Linked DNA regions of Ovis aries. The protein of the gene in region 2 interacts with the protein of the main gene of each other region in a pairwise test. Links are inferred from orthologs where the notes say so. Each region holds a gene or a part of one and is shown on either strand. Other genes may lie near its edges. The genes, in order: A-kinase anchor protein 17A, THAP1 and TRIM26.

Region 1 (6,241 bases), on a different chromosome or scaffold from region 2:
CGGTCCACGGGATTCTCCAGGCCAGCACACCACAGTGGGCGCCTTTCCCTTCTCCAGGCGATCTCCCCAACCCGGGACTGAACCCGCACTCTCTCTTACTGAACTGGCAGGCAGGCGGGCTCTCTTCCTCTAGCGCCAGAACGTCAAAGCAAGAAACAGAGGTCCTGAGCCAAGACGCCTGACTCAGTGTCACTTCACAGGGCTCCTGAACGGCTCTTGCTGGGAAAGGCCAACAATACCCTCACTTCCCTACTTCACTTAAAGGCAGCTTCAGCCTGAACGCAAAACACCTGTAAGCTGGACAAAACTTCCGTGCCCGCGTCAGCAGGGTGCTGCACGGTGCCCCGGGAGGCTCAGCGAGAAGGAAGGCTCAGCGAAACGCCGGGTGGGAAGCCGGCGGTGCCCTGGGGGTAGGCCGCAGCCCCGCAGTCCCGCTGCGTCTCCAAGGGGACCGACGCATGCACCCAGGCCCGCAGAGCCCGGCCCCGCAGCACGCACCTCTCCTCAGCTCTCTGGCGCTCCTCTGCCTCCTTCTCCCGCCGTTTCTGCTCCTCCCGCTGCTGCTCCAGCTCCTGAAGCTTCTGTCTCTCGAGCTGCCGCTTCTTGATGGAGGCATCGCTCAGGTGTTTGGTGGAATCGAAAGAGACCTTCGGAGGCAGGACAGGGCAGGGTTAGGAGGTGCACGCACCGTCCTGAGCACGCAGACAAGCCCGTGCTCACCGGACGGCCTGCCTCAGACTCACCGCAGAGAGCGGGGACCCCCAACGCCCTTGACCGGGGGGACCTCGGGACTGCGGGGCAGGGCTCGAAGTCAGCGCTCAGGGACCCCACCCCTTCCAGGACGGCCCCTTCTGCCGGAAACACCAGGGCCTCCGGAGGCCAGCCCTGCATGCAAGAGCTTGACTCCTTCCCCCTCCTGCGGTGGGCGCCCCCCGCCCTCCGCAGCCAGCTGCCTTCACCACCCAGCGCCCGGGCACAGCTCGCGCCCCGAGGGCCCCGGCTCCTCCGCCAGCCTGACGTGGGGAGCCAGCACGAGCCAGAGTCCGCGGCGATGATGGACAGCGCCCTCATTTCAAGGGCGGCTGCGAGCGTGTTCCACTTCTCCCCACGTTTCCTGAGACACAGAGTGCGCTCACCGCGTGGGGGGCCCAGGCAGCCCTCCCCATGTCGGAGGCCCTTCGGGGCGCAGCCCGCCGCCCCGCCTCCCCCCCACCCCCCGCACCTTGATGTTGCAGGCCACAGCCTTGCCGTCCTCGCCCTTGAACATGAGCTTCATGCCGCGCAGCGCGCTCATGGCCTGGATGAAGCCGGCGTACTCGCGGTACTGCACGTAGGCCTCGAAGTTGAGGTGGCCGCCGAAGCTGAAGGTGTGGAAGTTGCGGCCCGTCATCTCCTCGCGGTAGGGGTCCAGCATGGGGATGTCCACGTTGCGGATCTCGCCGAAGCGCTCGAACACGCGCACCAGCACCTCCTCGCTCGGCTTCTCCGAGCCCGACTCCTTCAGCGAGAACCACTTGCAGGGCAGCCCCTCCAGGTGGATGGTGTCCGGCCGCTCGCCCGGCAGCGTCTCGTTCATGTCCTTGGCGTCGCGGAAGAAGGAGTCCCAGTCGTGGCGCGTGGGGAAGTCGACCTTGAACTCCGCGGCGCGCACCTTGAGGATGTCGGAGAAGCCGCTCAGCTTGATGGTCTTGCCGTCCAGGCAGGCCAGGAAGGACTTGACGAGGCTCTTGTTCTCCACCTCGCCCTCGAAGCGGATGAAGTCCATGGTGCTCTTGGAGATGCGCAGCGTGGAGAACTGGTGGTGCTGCACCATGCCCTTGAGCCGCTCCATCACCTCCCAGTTGGAGATGGACTTGCCCGGCTGCTTCAGCTGCGGCAGCGCCACGCTGATGGTCATCTTCGTGATGGGCTTCAGGTACAGGCCGTGCAGCGGGCACAGCTCCACCGCCTCAGACGTGTCGTGCACGATGGTGGCCGCAGCCATAGCCGGGACCTTGGGCCTGAAACACAAGACGCGCACGCCGCGCGTTCACGGCCGGCCCGCTGCCCCGCCCCCAGGCTGGCCAGCACGCGGCCCGGGGCACGGAGGCCCGTCTGCCCTCCGCGTGCCCGACACACTAGTCGCTACGTCAGGGAAGGCCCCTCGGCCCCTCAGGGTTAGTCGCTCAGTCGTGTCAGACTCTCTGTGACCCCGCGGACGGTAGCCGACCAGGCTCCCCTGCTCCTGAAATTCTCCAGGCAAGAATACTGGAGTGGGTTGCCCTTCCCTTCTCCAGGAGGGGGGGTCTTTCCCACCCAGGGATCAAACCTGGGTGTCCTGCATTGCAGGCAGATGCTTTACTGTCTGAACCACCAGGGAAACCCCAGCCCCTGACATGTGGGCCCTTTTAATCAGATTACACAAATGCAGGGGAAAAAAATTTGGGTTTTCAAAACTTTTAGGAACACTTGCTTGCCCCAAGCCTCCATGGGCACTGAGCTGCCCCCAATACTCAGAGGCATCTCCACCAGGGCTGGGCTGGCAGGAGCCCAGATGGGCAGGGTCCCTGCCCTCGGGATGTGGGGGACAGGCCACCTCCATGGAGGCTGCAGACGTCTCACTGGGGAAGGGACGACCCACACAAGCACCTGGGAAGGTCTGTGCCGGAGGAAGCCCGCGGAAACAGGAAGGAACTTTCAGGCTGAGAGAATGGTTGAAGACCGTTGACTTCAGTATCTCTACCGCAGGCAGAAGCATTTTCTCTGTGTCCAGATAAAACCATCAAAGCCGCGGGGCCTCTGGGAAGCCGCGGACGGGGAGCTGACTGTGCTCTCCTCCCCCTCAACCAGCTTCTCCCTACCGGTCAGACAGGTGCCTACTTCCGCAAAGCAGGGCCAGACCTGACCCACGGACAGCAAACAGTAATGGAGGGGGCCTTGGGCTGTGTGCCCGCGCACCAGATGGCTCTGAGAGCTTCTGACCAGGCCTGGGTTCAATCCCTGGGGCGGGAAGATCCCCTGGAGGAGGGCATGGCAACCCACTCCAGTATTCTTGCCTGGAGAAAGCCACGGACAGAGGAGCCTGGTGGGCTATAGTCCACAGGGTCACAGAGAGCCACGACTGAACAGCTCAGCACACACACACACCCAGACCCAGGAGAAGCTGCAGGGACGGGGGTGGAGGGGTCCCAGCTGGAGGGAAGAGCCACCTGGCCCAGGTCTGGGGCACCAGGGAGGGGGCTCAGCCTGGGCTGAGAGTGGCGACAGCCCCCCTCCACCCGCAGAAAACCTCCAGACCTCAGAGAGAACTTGAGTCAGAGACTCCGGAAGCCCACTGCCTACTAGGAACCCTGGGGATTCCCATATTCCCTGGTCGCCCAGCTGCCCCTGCACCCTGGGGATGACCCCCAGCCCCTTCGCTGCACCCCTGTCAACACACCCCTGGCAGCCCCTCACGATCCCCATCGCCTCCACCCCTCCAAATGCTCACCCCACTGGCCCAACTCCCGCCTTCTCTCTCCCCAGCCGCCTCTGTGGCCCCCGGTTACCCCCTCCAACCTCCAGTAACCCCTAACTTCACTCCCCGTCCCAGTACAGCCTGCTTACCTCTTACCCTGGTGGACCCCGATTCGCCTGCAGGGACCCTGTCCACCCCCCGCCCCAACCCCGCAGCTCCCTGGAGACCTCCCCTCCTCTGCTCAATCGCCGTTGTCCCCTCTCCCAAATCCTCTCCCAGAAGACGCCCCCCACTCTCCGCACCCCGGGGAGACCCCCGCAGCCCCCAGCTGTCCGTCACCCCAAGCCCCTCAAAGGCTTTCGACCCCCAAAGCCCACACCCCCAAGTCCCCCAGACCCCTGCTCCCAAGTCTGCAGGTCCAGGACACCCGTGCCCCGGCCGTCCCGGGAGACCCCCGCATCCCCCAGCCCCCGGTCATCCCCAAGCCCCTCAAAGGCTCTCGACCCCCGAAGCCCCTGCCCCCAAGTCAGCAGTCCCACGAGACCCCGTGCCCCGGTCGCCCCGAGAGACCGCTGCAGACCCCAGCCCGCGGCACTCCGTCACCCTCAGGCCCTCAAAGGCTTTCGACCCCCAAAGCCGCGCCCCCAAGTCCCCAGGCCCCCCGCTCCCAAGTCCGCAGGCCCAAGAGACCCCCGCAGCCCCCGGCCGCCGGTTCTCCGTCACCCCCAGACCCCCCGCCCCCAGGCCCCTCGAAGGCTCTCGACCCCCGAAGCCCGCAGGCCCAGGAGAGCCGCGCCCCGGCCGCCCGCCCCGCGAGGCCGCCCTCCCCGGCCCCCCGACGCCCCGGGGTCCCCGGCGCCCGGCGGGCGGGGCCCCGTCCACGTACCAGGCCGCCGCCGCCCTGGCCCCAGCGCTCCCGCGGGCCCCCGACGACGCCGGCAGGCCCGGCCTCCCCGCCCGGCGCCGCCACCGTCCGCCGGAGGCGCCCCCGACGCGACCCGCTGCCGCCGCCTCGGCCGCCGCCGCCGCCCGCCCCTGTGACGCATTTCCGCTTCCGCCGCTCGGGCCCGCGGAAGCAGGCCGCGCGGCGGGCCCGGGTTTCTCCTCCTGGCCATGGCCCCGCCCCCCAAGAGGCGGGACTTCCGGGGCGGCGGTGGGTGGGGCCGGCCGGCCCGGGCTTCGCGGTGCGCGTGCGCGAGCCCGCCGCGCCCTTCCCCCACCCCGCCCCGCCCCGCCCCGCCCCCAACCCTGCCACCTGTTTTCAGGTCCAGGCAGAGGCCTCACCTTGGGGCCCCAGGGTGAAGACACCGGACTCGGGACTCAGGCCGGCTGTGTGGGGCACACTGCTGTTACAGTCATGCGTCGCACATGAGATATCGTTATGAACTATGACAAGTGTATATTTATTAATTACTGATTTTATTCCGTATGAGTATGGATTGCTTGTATGACATTGTTATATCATGCTATAATGTAGCATACATATAATGCAACGGGCTTCCCTGGTGGATCCATTGATAAGGAGTCCGGCTGCAATGCGAGACACCTGGGTTCAATCCCTGGGTTGGGAAGATCCCCTGGAGAAGGGCATGAATACCCACTCCAGTATTCTGGCCTGGAGAATCCCGTGGGCTATAGGCATCGCAAAGAGTCAGACACAACGGAGCGACTTTCACCTCCCGTAATGTAACTACACTCACTTAAGTAATATAGTGTTAGTATAAACATCTAGTATTTTACTATTGAAACTTTTTACATTTTAACATTGATGTTCCATGCTTACTTTTAAGGATGTCGGAAAGTAACAGAAATTGCATAATTATTATTTTATATTTTTGATATGCATCTGTGCATTTTATTATTTTAAATTGCTTAATATATAAAATGTAAATATAAATATATAATGTGCTTTCTGTGTTATATATCTGTGTTCTCAGTTGCTGAGTTGTGTCTGACTCTTTGCGAGCCCATAGACTGTAGCCTGCCAAGCTCTTCTGTCCGTGGGATTCTTCAGGCGAGAGTACTGCAGTGGGTTGCCATTCTCTTCGCTAGGAGATCCTGTTGACCCAGGGGTGAAACCTGTGTGTCTTGTGTCCCCTGCATTGGAAGGTGGGTTCTTTACCACTATGCCACCCACGTTATATATAATCGATTTCAAAAATAATGACCTTTTGTATAACTTTACCTGTAATATTTATCTTATGCATAATAATACAGTTAGGTCTGCTGCTGATACTGCTGCTGAGTCGCTTCACTCGTGTCCGACTCTGTGTGACCCCAGAGACGGCAGCCCACCAGGCTCCCCCGTCCCTGGGATTCTCCAGGCAAGAACAGTGGCGTGGGTTGCCATTTCCTTCTCCAGTGCATGAAACTGAAAAGTGAAAGTGAAGTCGCTCAGTCGTGTCCGACTCTTAGCAACCCAATGGATTGCAGCCCATCAGGTTCCTCCGTCCATGGGATTTTCCAGGCAAAAGAGTACTGGAGTGGGGTGCCACTGCCTTCTCCATACATTTAGGTCATTTTATGGTATAAATAAAATGGCTTCCCTCATAACTCAGTTGGTAAAGAATCTGCCTGCAATGCAGGAGACCTGGGTTCAATTCCTGGGTCAGAAAGATCCCCTGGAGAAGGAAATGGGCACCCACTGCTCAGTCGTGTCCAGCTGTTTGTGGCCCTTTGGACTGTAGCCCCCACCAGGCTCCTCTGTTCGTGAGATTTTTCAGGCAAAAATGTATCCCTGGGGACCTGTTAAATTTGGAAACTGCCAAGTACCAAGCAAAGCGAATTAAGACATGAGATACTCAC
Region 2 (5,316 bases):
TTGCCTGTGGTAAAAGTGAAGAAATTGTCTTTTGTGTGATGTCTTGACAATCAATTCGTCAAGGGCAAGATTCCCACCTGATGCAATGAGTCACACTCTGCCCACACGACCCAGCTGGCAGAGACCTGGGTGGGTGCACACACCTCCAGTGGGGACCGGACGCCCGAGCTCAGAGCAGTGAGAGAAAAGGTGAGCCCGGGGTCAGCCCCAGTGGCCGCTGCTCAGCTCACTGGTAACGATGTACAGTGTGCTTACTGGAGAGTGTGTCTTCCCCTGGAGACACACTTCTAACTCTATAATGCTGGATGGGGGTGAGAAAGGAAGGGCCCCACTCTTCAAAAAAATTCCTTCTTTAACATAATTTAACCATTATGATTAGGTATGGAATGACACAACTTGCCAAGTTAACTCTGATAAGGGATTAAGGTAAATTAATCTGTCAACTTTACAAATAAGAATGTGTAAATATATATATTCTGAGACATCATGTCCTATGCTTCTGATTTAAAACGTGATGAAGTTCTTTCAATAAACTGCACTAAATTTTTTTAACTTGAAACTTAAATCATCCTTACTGCACTGTTCTCATTCTCCTTACTTTTTATTTTCATATCGTGTCTATAAATACTTGAATTGAAAAACAAAAATCCCCAATCTTGAAACCAACTGACACTGAAGCTCTGAGGTTAGTTTATCACTTTTAAAATATTTTGCTAAAATGTAAAAACCCTGAAATTACAAACAAAAAATTTACAGTTTTACAGTATATATCTAATTTATTCTTTTAAAAAAATATTCTGAATTGCTTTTGTACAAGTTATCAAGTGTAATCTCTTTTCAAATGAAGCTCCTCTCTAGGGTAGAAGAGGGTAGGTGGTATTGCCCCATGAAAAACCAATACAAATCTCACGTTTTCACGCGGGGACTTCGACTATCTCGAAGTAGTCATTGGGGAGAATGACGTAGCCCCTCTCGGAGGCGCCGTCCTTCTCCTTCTGGAAGTGCACCACCTCCTTCAGCTTCTCCAGCTGCCTCTCCTGTCTGCGGCACCGCTGCTGTGCAGTCTTGAGCTTCTTCCGGAGCTTCTCCACTTGCTGCTCCAGCTGGTGGATCCTCTTCCGCTGGTGCATGGTGTCCTCCACGGTGTAGTTGTGGTCACAGAAGACGGAGAGGTTATCGGGGGTCTGAAGAGGAGGCATGAGCAACCCGATCGCAGCATCAACCTGGGAAATGGGGGGCGTTAAAGGAGGCGGCGGGGGCTGTTCCTGTGGCTCCAGGAGATCTTCCTTCTGGAACAAAGACGCAGAGCGTGTTTGAGCTTCATTATTAAAAGTAACAGATTAAAAGAACACACTAAATTCTGCACCTGTGCAATATAAGAATGTTAGACTTAGTTCTGCCTCCTTGGCATAGAAACAGTCTAAAATGAAAAGAAGTTTTAATTTTCCTTTTTTACCTGAAGTAGAAATGGGATGCAAAAAAGACAAAATGATTAATCGGATCTAATTAAACACTAGCACTGAAAACTGAGGGGGAAAATACTCTGAAAGTTAACTATCATCATAAAGGAAAATCAAAACTTATCAACATATAAGCAGGAACACCAGGATTCCCTGGTGGCTCAGACAGTAAAGCATCTGCCTGCAATGCGGGAGACCTGGGTTCGATTCCTGGGTAGGGAAGATCCCCTGGAGAAGGAAATGGCAATCCACTCCAGCACTCTTGCCTGGAAAATCCCATGGACGGAGAAGCCTGATAGGCTACAGTCCATGGGGTCGCGAAGAGTCGGACACTGAGCCACTTCACTTTCACTTTCAAGCAGGAACATGGGGCTTTCCAGGTGGTGCTAGTGGTAAAGAACCTGCTTGCTTACGCAGGAGATCTAAGAGACGTGGGTTCAATCCTTGGGTCAGGAAGATCCCCTGGAGAAGGAAATGGCAACCCACTCCTGGGTTGCAGAATCCCATGGATAGAGGATCCTGGTGGGCTACATAAACACACAAGCAGGAATACAGACTGATCTTAAAGTAAGTTAAAAGCTAGGCTGAAGTGTCTTAGTGTGAGAATATTTAACTTTACTAAACACTCTGTATTTTTTGAAGTATTTTGCTGTGAACAGGGGTCATTTACAAGGGATGGGTTCCAGGTAACATTTATATTCTTAACACTACTGTGGCTTTTCCAGATTTTCCATTGAACACATTAACTTTATGGAAAGAGACCCGCCCAGTACTTTACACGCCCCTCACCTTGTCGTGCGGCTCGGTACACAGAAATATCGTGGGGACAGCATCCTCTTTCAGCAGCTTGTTGTTGCACTCCCGCTTAAAGCAGTCCGGGGTAAAGTGGTCCGAGCAGATGCTGCTGTACTTGGTGGGCTTAAAGTTTTTCCTTCTGACAGCTGCCTCCCATTTCTTACAAAGACTGGGTCGAGTAAGAGGAAACCTAAGAAGATGAAATGATTCCGTTTTCTAGCCTTACTCAGAAACAAAAAGGCACACCCAGGCGTTCCTGCTTAGAGAAGAATTAGCTTACAACCACCGGTGTTCACACGCCACAGGCGTTTGCTTAACACACCTGCTCCCACTAATCCTTTTTCGACAGTTTTTCAGGTGTACCCTTATCACCCTAGATGTTACGGATGTACTTGTGTGGACATAGAGAACAAGCCTGTGGTTGCCAAGGAGGAGGGGAGTGGGGAAGAGCGGGACTGAGAGTTTGGAGTTACATACGAGAAGGGATAAACAACAAGGTCCTACCGTGTAGCACAGTGAACCGTAGTCAAAATCCTGAGATAAACCCAAATGGAAAAGAACATGGGAAAAAAATGCAGAGCTGTGTATAACTGAATCACTTTGGTGTACAGCAGAAACCAACGAAACACTGTAAATCAACTATACCTAAAGTAAACTTTTTAAAAAATGGACTTGTTTTAAAATCCTGTAACTAAAGTGAGCATCACTAGTGTGAAAAATAAGTCACCCCTCCTAGCATGGTATTTTTTTTTTTAAACCAGGATTTCTTATAAGAATCTTATTGATCACAAAGCAGTTGTAAGAATGTCAGATATAATGATGTATACAATCTAAATACGTCAGGCTCATTAGGATTTACATTATGCAAAAACATACTTATTAAAAGGCAGCCACGTGGACAGATGCACGCAGCTGGCAGAGCAGGTGATAGGAGGGTAGGTTCAAGGGCCCATGTGATGTTTTCCCCTCTTTTGCAGTAAATAACCTTCGCAAACAGACACATCTAAGATACAAGGGTAAACCATATAGCTCCACCATCCACCTATCTCAGTCTTTAATGCTTAACTTTTTATACTGAAGACACTAAAATCTGGGGTAAAATACACATGGTATAGACTGAATTTGTATTATTATTATTATTTTTTTTACCAGTGATCCTCTGTGTACTGTAAAACAAAACTGCACGTTTATAACTATGTACCGAGACAAAGAAGCTTTTTGTTTTCTTGAGAATCATCTTGACAAATATGAATCAAACTGTAGCCAAATCATAATGATAAGGAAAAAAAGTATTCATTTTAATTTACCTAATTGACTGAAATACATCCATTAGGCCCAGATAAAGAGAGATACGAAGCTTTTAAACTTATTTTATTTTTCCAGGTAAAAGATTCAGTGAGTTGGGGGGGATTGAAAAAAAGCCAAAAAAGGGTGTTTCGACTCTGTGTCCCAGTTTCTCTACGAAGTGAGATACGCTCGAGCCTGACTCTGCTATGGTCGTGGAGCCCTAATCTACCCTTCTCTTTGCCCAGAACATCTGTTCCCACTACCATGTAGAAGCTGAGAAAGACTCCTAGAATGTTCCTGCTGGAAGTGCCTCTAGAAGTAGACACAGCAGCAACTGCTGGGAAACTCAACACCCAGGGCCTCCTGACCAAGGATTACAATGCAGCTTATTTCTGAGGTCAAGAGCCTTCCCAAAATTGTTCTTTTAGATAAGGGATAAGATGCAGATTAGCTCTTCTTTTGGTCAAATCAATTATTTAACCGCAGGAGAAACTCCGTATTTCTGAAACGTGTGAACGTCATCCTTAACCAGTGCCAGTGAAGGGTTTTCCTTATGTCTGTATTCCCTCAGCCACATCGTTAGAAATGGGGCTGGGGGGGGGGGGAGCTGAAAGTCTGTGATCACGTCACCATCTCCAGATCTGTTCCTTCACATTGGAACTGCTGGAGTTCCCCCATTAGCTTTCAGAAATTCTAATCAATCAAGAGGCAACATTAGAAGTGTTAAGTGTTCTGTTTCTTAGAAGGGGGAAAAAAAATCAACATTCTCAAGATCTCTCTATACCCTACACACTCTGATTTTTGTTCTCATACCAAATGTATAAAAATGCACCCACATTCACTGTTAAACATGGAAGGTCCTTATTCCCCCCAAATTTAAGATTTTGCTTTAGTAATTATTTACCTATAAATGTGTGGATGTGTGGATCACAACAAACTGTGGAAAATTTTCAAAGAGATGGGAATACCAGACCACCAGACTTTCCTGCCGCCAGAGAAACCTGTATGCAGGTCAAGAAGCAACAGTTAGAGCTGGACATGGAACAACTGACTGGTTCAAAACTGGAAAAGGAGTTATACTGTCACCCTGCTTATTTGACTTATATACAGAATACATCATGTGAAATGTCAGGCTGGATGAATCACAAGCTGCGATCAAGACTGCCAGGAGAAATATCAACCTCAGATAATGCAGATAATACCACCCTAATGGCAGAATGTGAAGAGAAACTAAAAAGCCTCTTGAGGAAGGTGAAAGAGGAGAGTGAAAAAGCTAATTTAAAACAGCATTCAAAAACTAAGATCATGGCATCTGGTCCCATCACTTCATGGCAAATAGAAGACGCAAAAAAAAAAAAAAGGAAATCGTGGCAGATTTTATTTTCTTGGGCTCCAAAATCACTGTGGATGGTGACTGCAGCCATGAAATTAAAAGGTGTGAAAAAATAGATGCTTGCTCCCTGGAAAAAAAGCCATGACAAAACCTAGACAATATATAAAAAGGCAGAGACATCCCTTTGCCGACAAAGGTCCGTCTAGTCAAACCTATGGTTTTTGTAGCAGTCTTGTGGATGTGAGAGTTGGACCATAAAGAAGGATGAGCGCTGAAGAATTGATGCCTTTGAACTGTGGTGTTGGAGAAGACTCTTGAGAGTCCCTTGGACTAGGATATCAAACCAATCAATAGTAAAGGAAATCAACCCTCAATATTCACTGGAAGGTACTGAAGCTGAAGCTCCAATACTTTGCTCACATGATGTGAAGAGCTGACTGG
Region 3 (5,789 bases), on a different chromosome or scaffold from region 2:
CTGGGTTAGGCTCACTTCCTCAACAGACAAACCAGGGAGTTGCACCAGGCAATTCCTAGACTTTTTACCATCCTTATTAGCATACTAAAAACTTTATTACCTGCATTTACCAGTTAAATTCTTTATAATTATTTCACTTGAGCTTTGTAGGTACAGGTCTTTTCCACACCCGTTACATCTCTTAAAGTCACGCATCTCTAAATCTGTTGGAGCTTCTGGTTGGAGTTCATTGTCAGTAGTAAAATAATGCCTTACATTTGTACAGTACTTTCCGTTTAGAAAGCACTTTTTATATATTGCTGCATTAGATCCTCAAGAAATAGACTTTGTATTTCTGTGTTGTTTTCTCTTTGGGGCTTTATTTCTAGCTCATTCATGTCAGTACATGAAAGAAATTGAAGGCCACTGAACTCTGTTGTAATGGACTTTCACATACATAATAAGTAATCAGATTGATTTGCCTGTGGTTCCAAGGGCTTCATTCCAGCCTGGCAGTTATCTGTGTGCCCTGTCTACTGGCTGTCTTCCCAGAGACTGCTCCGGTGGCCTACCATGGGTCTCTCCACGAGACTTTAACTTGGAGCCCATGTGTCACCGTGGCGTTTCATCCTTACTTCCTCTCTTGCTGCCACTTTAAATTTCCAGTCTTGCTTTACTTGTGCTTTGAATACTCACTGGATTTGGGAGCCAAGGGTTCTGGATTCTCTTCTAGATTCCCCCTCAATATCACGCTTATGCCTAATACTTCTAGCATAATTCTTTTACTCAATCCATGTAGGAACCCCTTGAAGGTAAGTATGACTCTCCCCATTTTATGGATGGATAAACTGAGGCTCAGAGTACTTAAATGAGTTTTTTCTTGTCACACAGTGTAAGGGCAGGAGGCAGCTGTTGCTTTAGGTGTGCTGAGGCTCCTAACCTCAGACAGGAGGTGTGCCAAGGCTGCGGAGGTAAACAGAACTAAAGTCCTCTGTGCTCAACTTATGTGTTCCCTCTGAGGGCCACGCTGTCATCCACACATCCCTGTCAGAGCCACCTGAAGGTTCCTCCCACGTTGGTTTCAGTCACCCGTGTTAGCAGTAGAGCGGCCAGGCCAGCTGCGTGGAGGGGCACAGCTGAGAACGAGTCCATTGTGGCCCGGCAGTGCTCTGCCAGCAGACTGAGTCTAGGTAGGGACCACCTCTCTGGGGCAAGTGAACCCAGTCAAAAACTCACACAGCCCAAGGAAACATCTATAAAGGAGGACACCGGAACTCAACCTCCTGATGCTCCTTGAGTCTCGGTAAAGAACCTCAGTGCACTTAGTCTTTGCAACCTGAAGTCTGCAGGGCAAACAGAGGAGTCTCTTGACTCTGTCAAGGCCCCTCATGAACAGTTGTGCAGGCTATGTGCAGCAAAGTCAGGGAGCACTGTGCACATAGTAGGTGTTGTGGATTTGTATATTATGACAGTTCAGCAGGTAGTTATCTGGGGTCTTGTTCTCATAATCGCTACATTAGAGCAATTTTCCAGCAGATGGAAGGACAGGGTCTGGAGGTAGGAGTGTGTTCCCAAGAGTACGGCATGGGCTGGTACCTGCGCTACTCTCCCTTCTTCCAAGCTACACACTCTGGGCCTCAGTTTCCTCATCTGTAAAATGAGGGCATTGGACTTGAGGATCAGTAAGGTCCTTTCCCTCTGATTCTGGGGGAGCCTCATAGGAGCTGCGATTGACTGGTCGGTTGCTTGGGCACGCAGCCCCATGTGCGGCTGCCACTCCCGCCCCTCTGCTGGGCCTGCTGTTGACTCCATGTCTGGTCCCCAAGGAGGAGAAGTCCCAGCCGGTGAACAGGGGCCCCTCTGAGCTCGGGATACCATGGCCGCGTCGGCACCGCTGCGGAGTCTGGAAGAGGAGGTGACCTGCTCCATCTGCCTCGATTACCTGCGGGACCCAGTGACCATTGACTGTGGCCACGTCTTCTGCCGCAGCTGTACCGCTGACATCCGCCCCATCTCAGGGGGCCGCCCTGCCTGCCCCCTGTGCAAGAAGCCTTTTAAGAAGGAGAATATCCGGCCGGTGTGGCAGCTGGCCAGCCTGGTGGAGAACATTGAGCGGCTGAAGGTGGACGGGGGCCGGCAGCCGGGGGAGGCGGCCCAGGAGCAGGCGGAGGCGAGGCTGTGCGAGCGGCACCGGGAGAAGCTGCATTACTTCTGCGAGGACGACGGCAAGCTGCTGTGCGTCATGTGCCGGGAGTCCCGCGAGCACAGGCCGCACTCGGCCGTCCTGGTGGAGAAGGCGGCCCAGCCCCACAGGGTAAGCCCTCCGCTCCCCCGCAGGGAGGGAAGCTCTGCTCGGCGCCCACCCGCAGGCGAGGCCTCGCGCAGGCCCCTCGGAAGGCTTCTCGCTGGCCCGGGACTCGGCCCGAGCCCACCCTCCTGCCTCAGCCCAGAGCATCCCCACTGCTTGTCTTTCTGCAGGAAAAAATCCTGAACCACCTGAGTACCCTAAGGAGAGACAGAGACAAAATTCAGGGCTTTCAGGCCAAGGGCGAAGCTGATATCCTGGCTGCGCTGGTAAGTGAGGCTGTCGAGGGAGAGAGCCCTGAGGCAGGCAATCGGCTGTGCAGAGCAGGAGCTCTTGAGCTTGTAGAGACACAGCTGGGCGGCCACTGGCTCCCTGGGAGAGGAGCCCTGACCGGACTGGCAGTGGGAGACCTGGGTTTTGGCCCACGCCCTGCCAGTCTGAGGTCTGCAGGCTTGGCCTGCTTCCTCATCTCGCAAGTGAAGGGGTTGCCTGGATGTCGGCTAAGGTCCTTCTTCTGTGATTCACCTCAGCTGCAGGGCCTGTTTGCTCAGCAGAGTCAGGGTGTGAGGAACTGAGGAAGGCCTGGCTTCATGCTTCCTTTCAAAGAGCGGGAGAGAGACATGATTCCTGCGAGTGAGGGGAGCCAGAGGGTTTGGAAGGCGGGAACTGGCTCCAAGAGGAGAACTGAGAGGAGTGGGCTTGGCCGGGCCTGACCAGCTGTGAGGACGCTGTGTGTAGTGAGTCCATGGTTGCCTGTAGTTAGGAAACAGAGACAGCGCATAGAGTGCTTGGTTAGAGAGGCGATCAGGAAGGGAAAAAACTGATAAAGATTCCAGTTTTCTGGGGCAAAGTCTGTTGGGGAAGCGGGCACTGGAGGGTGGAGGGATGTTGGGGCCAGTCCATGCGGTGAGCTCATGGGCCCCGGGAGAGGGACGGGGAGGCAGGACATGGCCCAACCCGAGCAGTGCCTTCAGGCGCCCTGTGTGCAAGGATGCTGACCAGGTCCCAGCCTGGACTCAGCAGGAAGATTGGGAGACAAGAAAGGACATGGTCCCGGTCGTAGACCTTCCAGAGTTTCACTGAGGAAAGAGGAGATAGTGGCAAGGATAGTATGCACGTATTTTACACATGCTGGGGAGGATGCTGAAGAGAGGGTTAGTTAGGCTTGAATAAAATTAATCAAGGGAAACGTCCTGGAAGAGGCAGCACACACCAGTTGGAAACTGTTGGCTCATAGTGTCCTCAGAGGGCCCTGGAACATACTGGTTTACCTAGAACAGCTGATGGTAGGCACTCATGCTTCCAGTCCCGTGAGGGGACTGACCTGGCTGACTTACCTTGTCTTCCCTGAGGAAAGGAGGTTGCCCCAGGAAGGCTCCAAGCCCCTTCCAGCCTGGACACTGTAGAACTCATGAATGGGGTCAGCGAGGGCGAAGAGCCAGCGTGTGCACCCCACGCCGGATCCCGGAGGGGAGGGCGGCAGTGCCACCCCCTTCTCCCCCTTCCCTCCCTGCAGAAGAAGCTCCAGGACCAGAGGCAGTGCATCGTGGCTGAGTTTGAGCAGGGTCACCAGTTCCTGAGGGAGCGGGAGCAGCACCTGCTGGGCCAGCTGGCGAAGCTGGAGCAGGAGCTCACAGAGGGCAGGGAGAAGTTCAAGACCAGGGGCGTCGGGGAGCTTGCCCGGCTGGCGCAGGTCATCTCCGAGCTGGAGGGCAAGGTGCAGCAGCCGGCTGCGGAGCTCATGCAGGTGAGAGACCTCCCCGGGGCAGGGAGCCGGGAGACCAGGACGGCGGGCATGGCCCTGCCTCTCCCTCAGGGGACCTTGGAGAGTCTTTTCTTCCCCGGGCCTCCGTGTTCTCATCTGAAGCATGGAGACGATGCTCCTTATCCCCACCACTCACTGCAGCGATTGCATGAGCGTAAAATGAGACCGTTGGCACGGTGTCCCTTCAAAAAGTAAATCTATGAGCAAGAGTTTATAGTCTTAAGAAGTGCTGTAGAAATGGAAGAGAAGCTTATTAGTATTTTCATTACTATCCTCCATTCTCATTACTGCCGGCACGAGCCTGTCTTCCAAAGTCACTGGCAGATGCTGGTCCGGGGAGGCTTTTTATGGTTCTGGAGATGAAGAAGCCTGTGGGGTCGGGGGTGGCTGAGGGATGGCTGAAGGGCGGCTTCTCTTAAGAACCCAGAGGATCTGGAGGAGATGGGCAGCTGGGGAAGAGAGTCAGAAGACAGAAGTTTTCTCTGAGCCTGTGGCATCAGCCTCAGAGAATCGGGTGGCAAGCAGGCAGGGTGCCTCTAGGGCACCTGCTGGAGGAGGCAGCTTTGATGCTGAAAAAGGGAGGGTCATGGATTGGAATCAAGGATGGTTGCTAAGTTGAAATGACACCACGACCCCCTCCACCGGGAGCCTCCCAAAGGAGTCACACTGCCTTCAACAGGGCTTTGAACTGCCTTTGGGTGGAACATGTGTGATCCCTCAGTCTCCCGCCCCACAGGCCAGGAGAAGGCCTGTATAATGAGCTCCTCCACTTGCATGGTGAGGGGTGGCTGGGACCACCCAGGACGTCTAGGGAAACGTTGGCCCTGGCCCATGGCAGGGCAAGCCGGTTGCGGGACCTCGGGGGAGATGGTGAGGCCCCCAGGTAGGTGTGCCGCACAGGTGGCCTCTGCCTGCCTCTCTGTCATTGTGGATTCTGACTCAAGCTTTGGGAACTCTTCCGCTCCAGCCCTCAGTGATGAAGTCTCAGAGCACCAGAGGGTGGAAGAGTTCGTCCCAGGCCATGGGGCAGATCAGGAAGTGAGTCAGAGCTCCAGCCCGGGCGTCCTGACTCCCAGGCCTCCGGCCTCTTGCTCTTCTTTTCTCTCACTTTGTCCAGAATGTCTGTCTGGCTCCTTCCTTTCCTCCTCTGTCATTCTGTTCCCTCAGGTTTGTCTCTCTGACTAGGTCACTTGCTGTCTCCCCTCTCCCTCTCTCCCTCCCCTTCAGGGGTGCACATCCTTCCTCTCCCCGCAGCCGCCAGCCCCTGCCACAGTGTGGGTGGGCACTTGTAGAACAGAGGGGCACAGCTAGGGTGCTGGGGGGCGGGGATCCGGTTGCGTCTGCCCAGAGGGGAGCTTCTCCCCAGTCTATCTGGAAGAGCTTTGTGGACCGACAGAGGCCCAGCCTTCAGAGCCTCTGAGACCACTCAGATAGAGGGCACCCCTGGGGCTGGGTGGGAGGAGAGAGGGAGAGAAAGTGGGTGTCTGCTGGAGGTCAGCGCGGGAGTGTGGCACTGGTGGGTTTTGTCGGTGTCTGTTTGGGTCTGCCTTTGCTGAAGGGAATTGGACAGCTAACTCCTGCCCTGGTGTTAGTATTTCTCCAGAGATTGACTGTCAGTGGACAGTAAGGATGAGGCCCTACTAAGATGGGAGTCCTGATGCAAAATGTGGTAGAGAAATACAGGTGAGGGACAAGCAGCAGGACAGGAGATAAATACAAGGCCTTTTGACAGAGGTGATA

What was found.
Region 1: the proteins of THAP1 (region 2) and A-kinase anchor protein 17A interact in binary tests that used the Homo sapiens proteins (3 or more experiments, as listed by UniProt). The two-hybrid records come from large-scale screens. The link is inferred for Ovis aries from reciprocal best matches to the Homo sapiens genes THAP1 and AKAP17A.
Region 3: the proteins of THAP1 (region 2) and TRIM26 interact in binary tests that used the Homo sapiens proteins (3 or more experiments, as listed by UniProt). The two-hybrid records come from large-scale screens. The link is inferred for Ovis aries from reciprocal best matches to the Homo sapiens genes THAP1 and TRIM26.

What each region holds. Positions count from the first base shown.
Region 1 is NC_082741.1:867,358-873,598, reverse strand, and holds the start of A-kinase anchor protein 17A, read right to left. Parts: upstream 3,626-6,241; 5' UTR 2,763-3,625; coding exon 2,629-2,762; intron 2,001-2,628; coding exon 1,223-2,000; intron 648-1,222; coding exon 499-647; intron 1-498. UniProt on the Homo sapiens protein: Splice factor regulating alternative splice site selection for certain mRNA precursors. Mediates regulation of pre-mRNA splicing in a PKA-dependent manner.
Region 2 is NC_056079.1:36,884,461-36,889,776, forward strand, and holds part of THAP1 (THAP domain-containing protein 1), read right to left. Parts: intron 2,446-5,316; coding exon 2,250-2,445; intron 1,290-2,249; coding exon 915-1,289; 3' UTR 1-914. UniProt on the Homo sapiens protein: DNA-binding transcription regulator that regulates endothelial cell proliferation and G1/S cell-cycle progression.
Region 3 is NC_056073.1:27,805,044-27,810,832, forward strand, and holds part of TRIM26 (tripartite motif-containing protein 26), read left to right. Parts: intron 1-1,805; 5' UTR 1,806-1,855; coding exon 1,856-2,293; intron 2,294-2,457; coding exon 2,458-2,553; intron 2,554-3,800; coding exon 3,801-4,031; intron 4,032-5,789.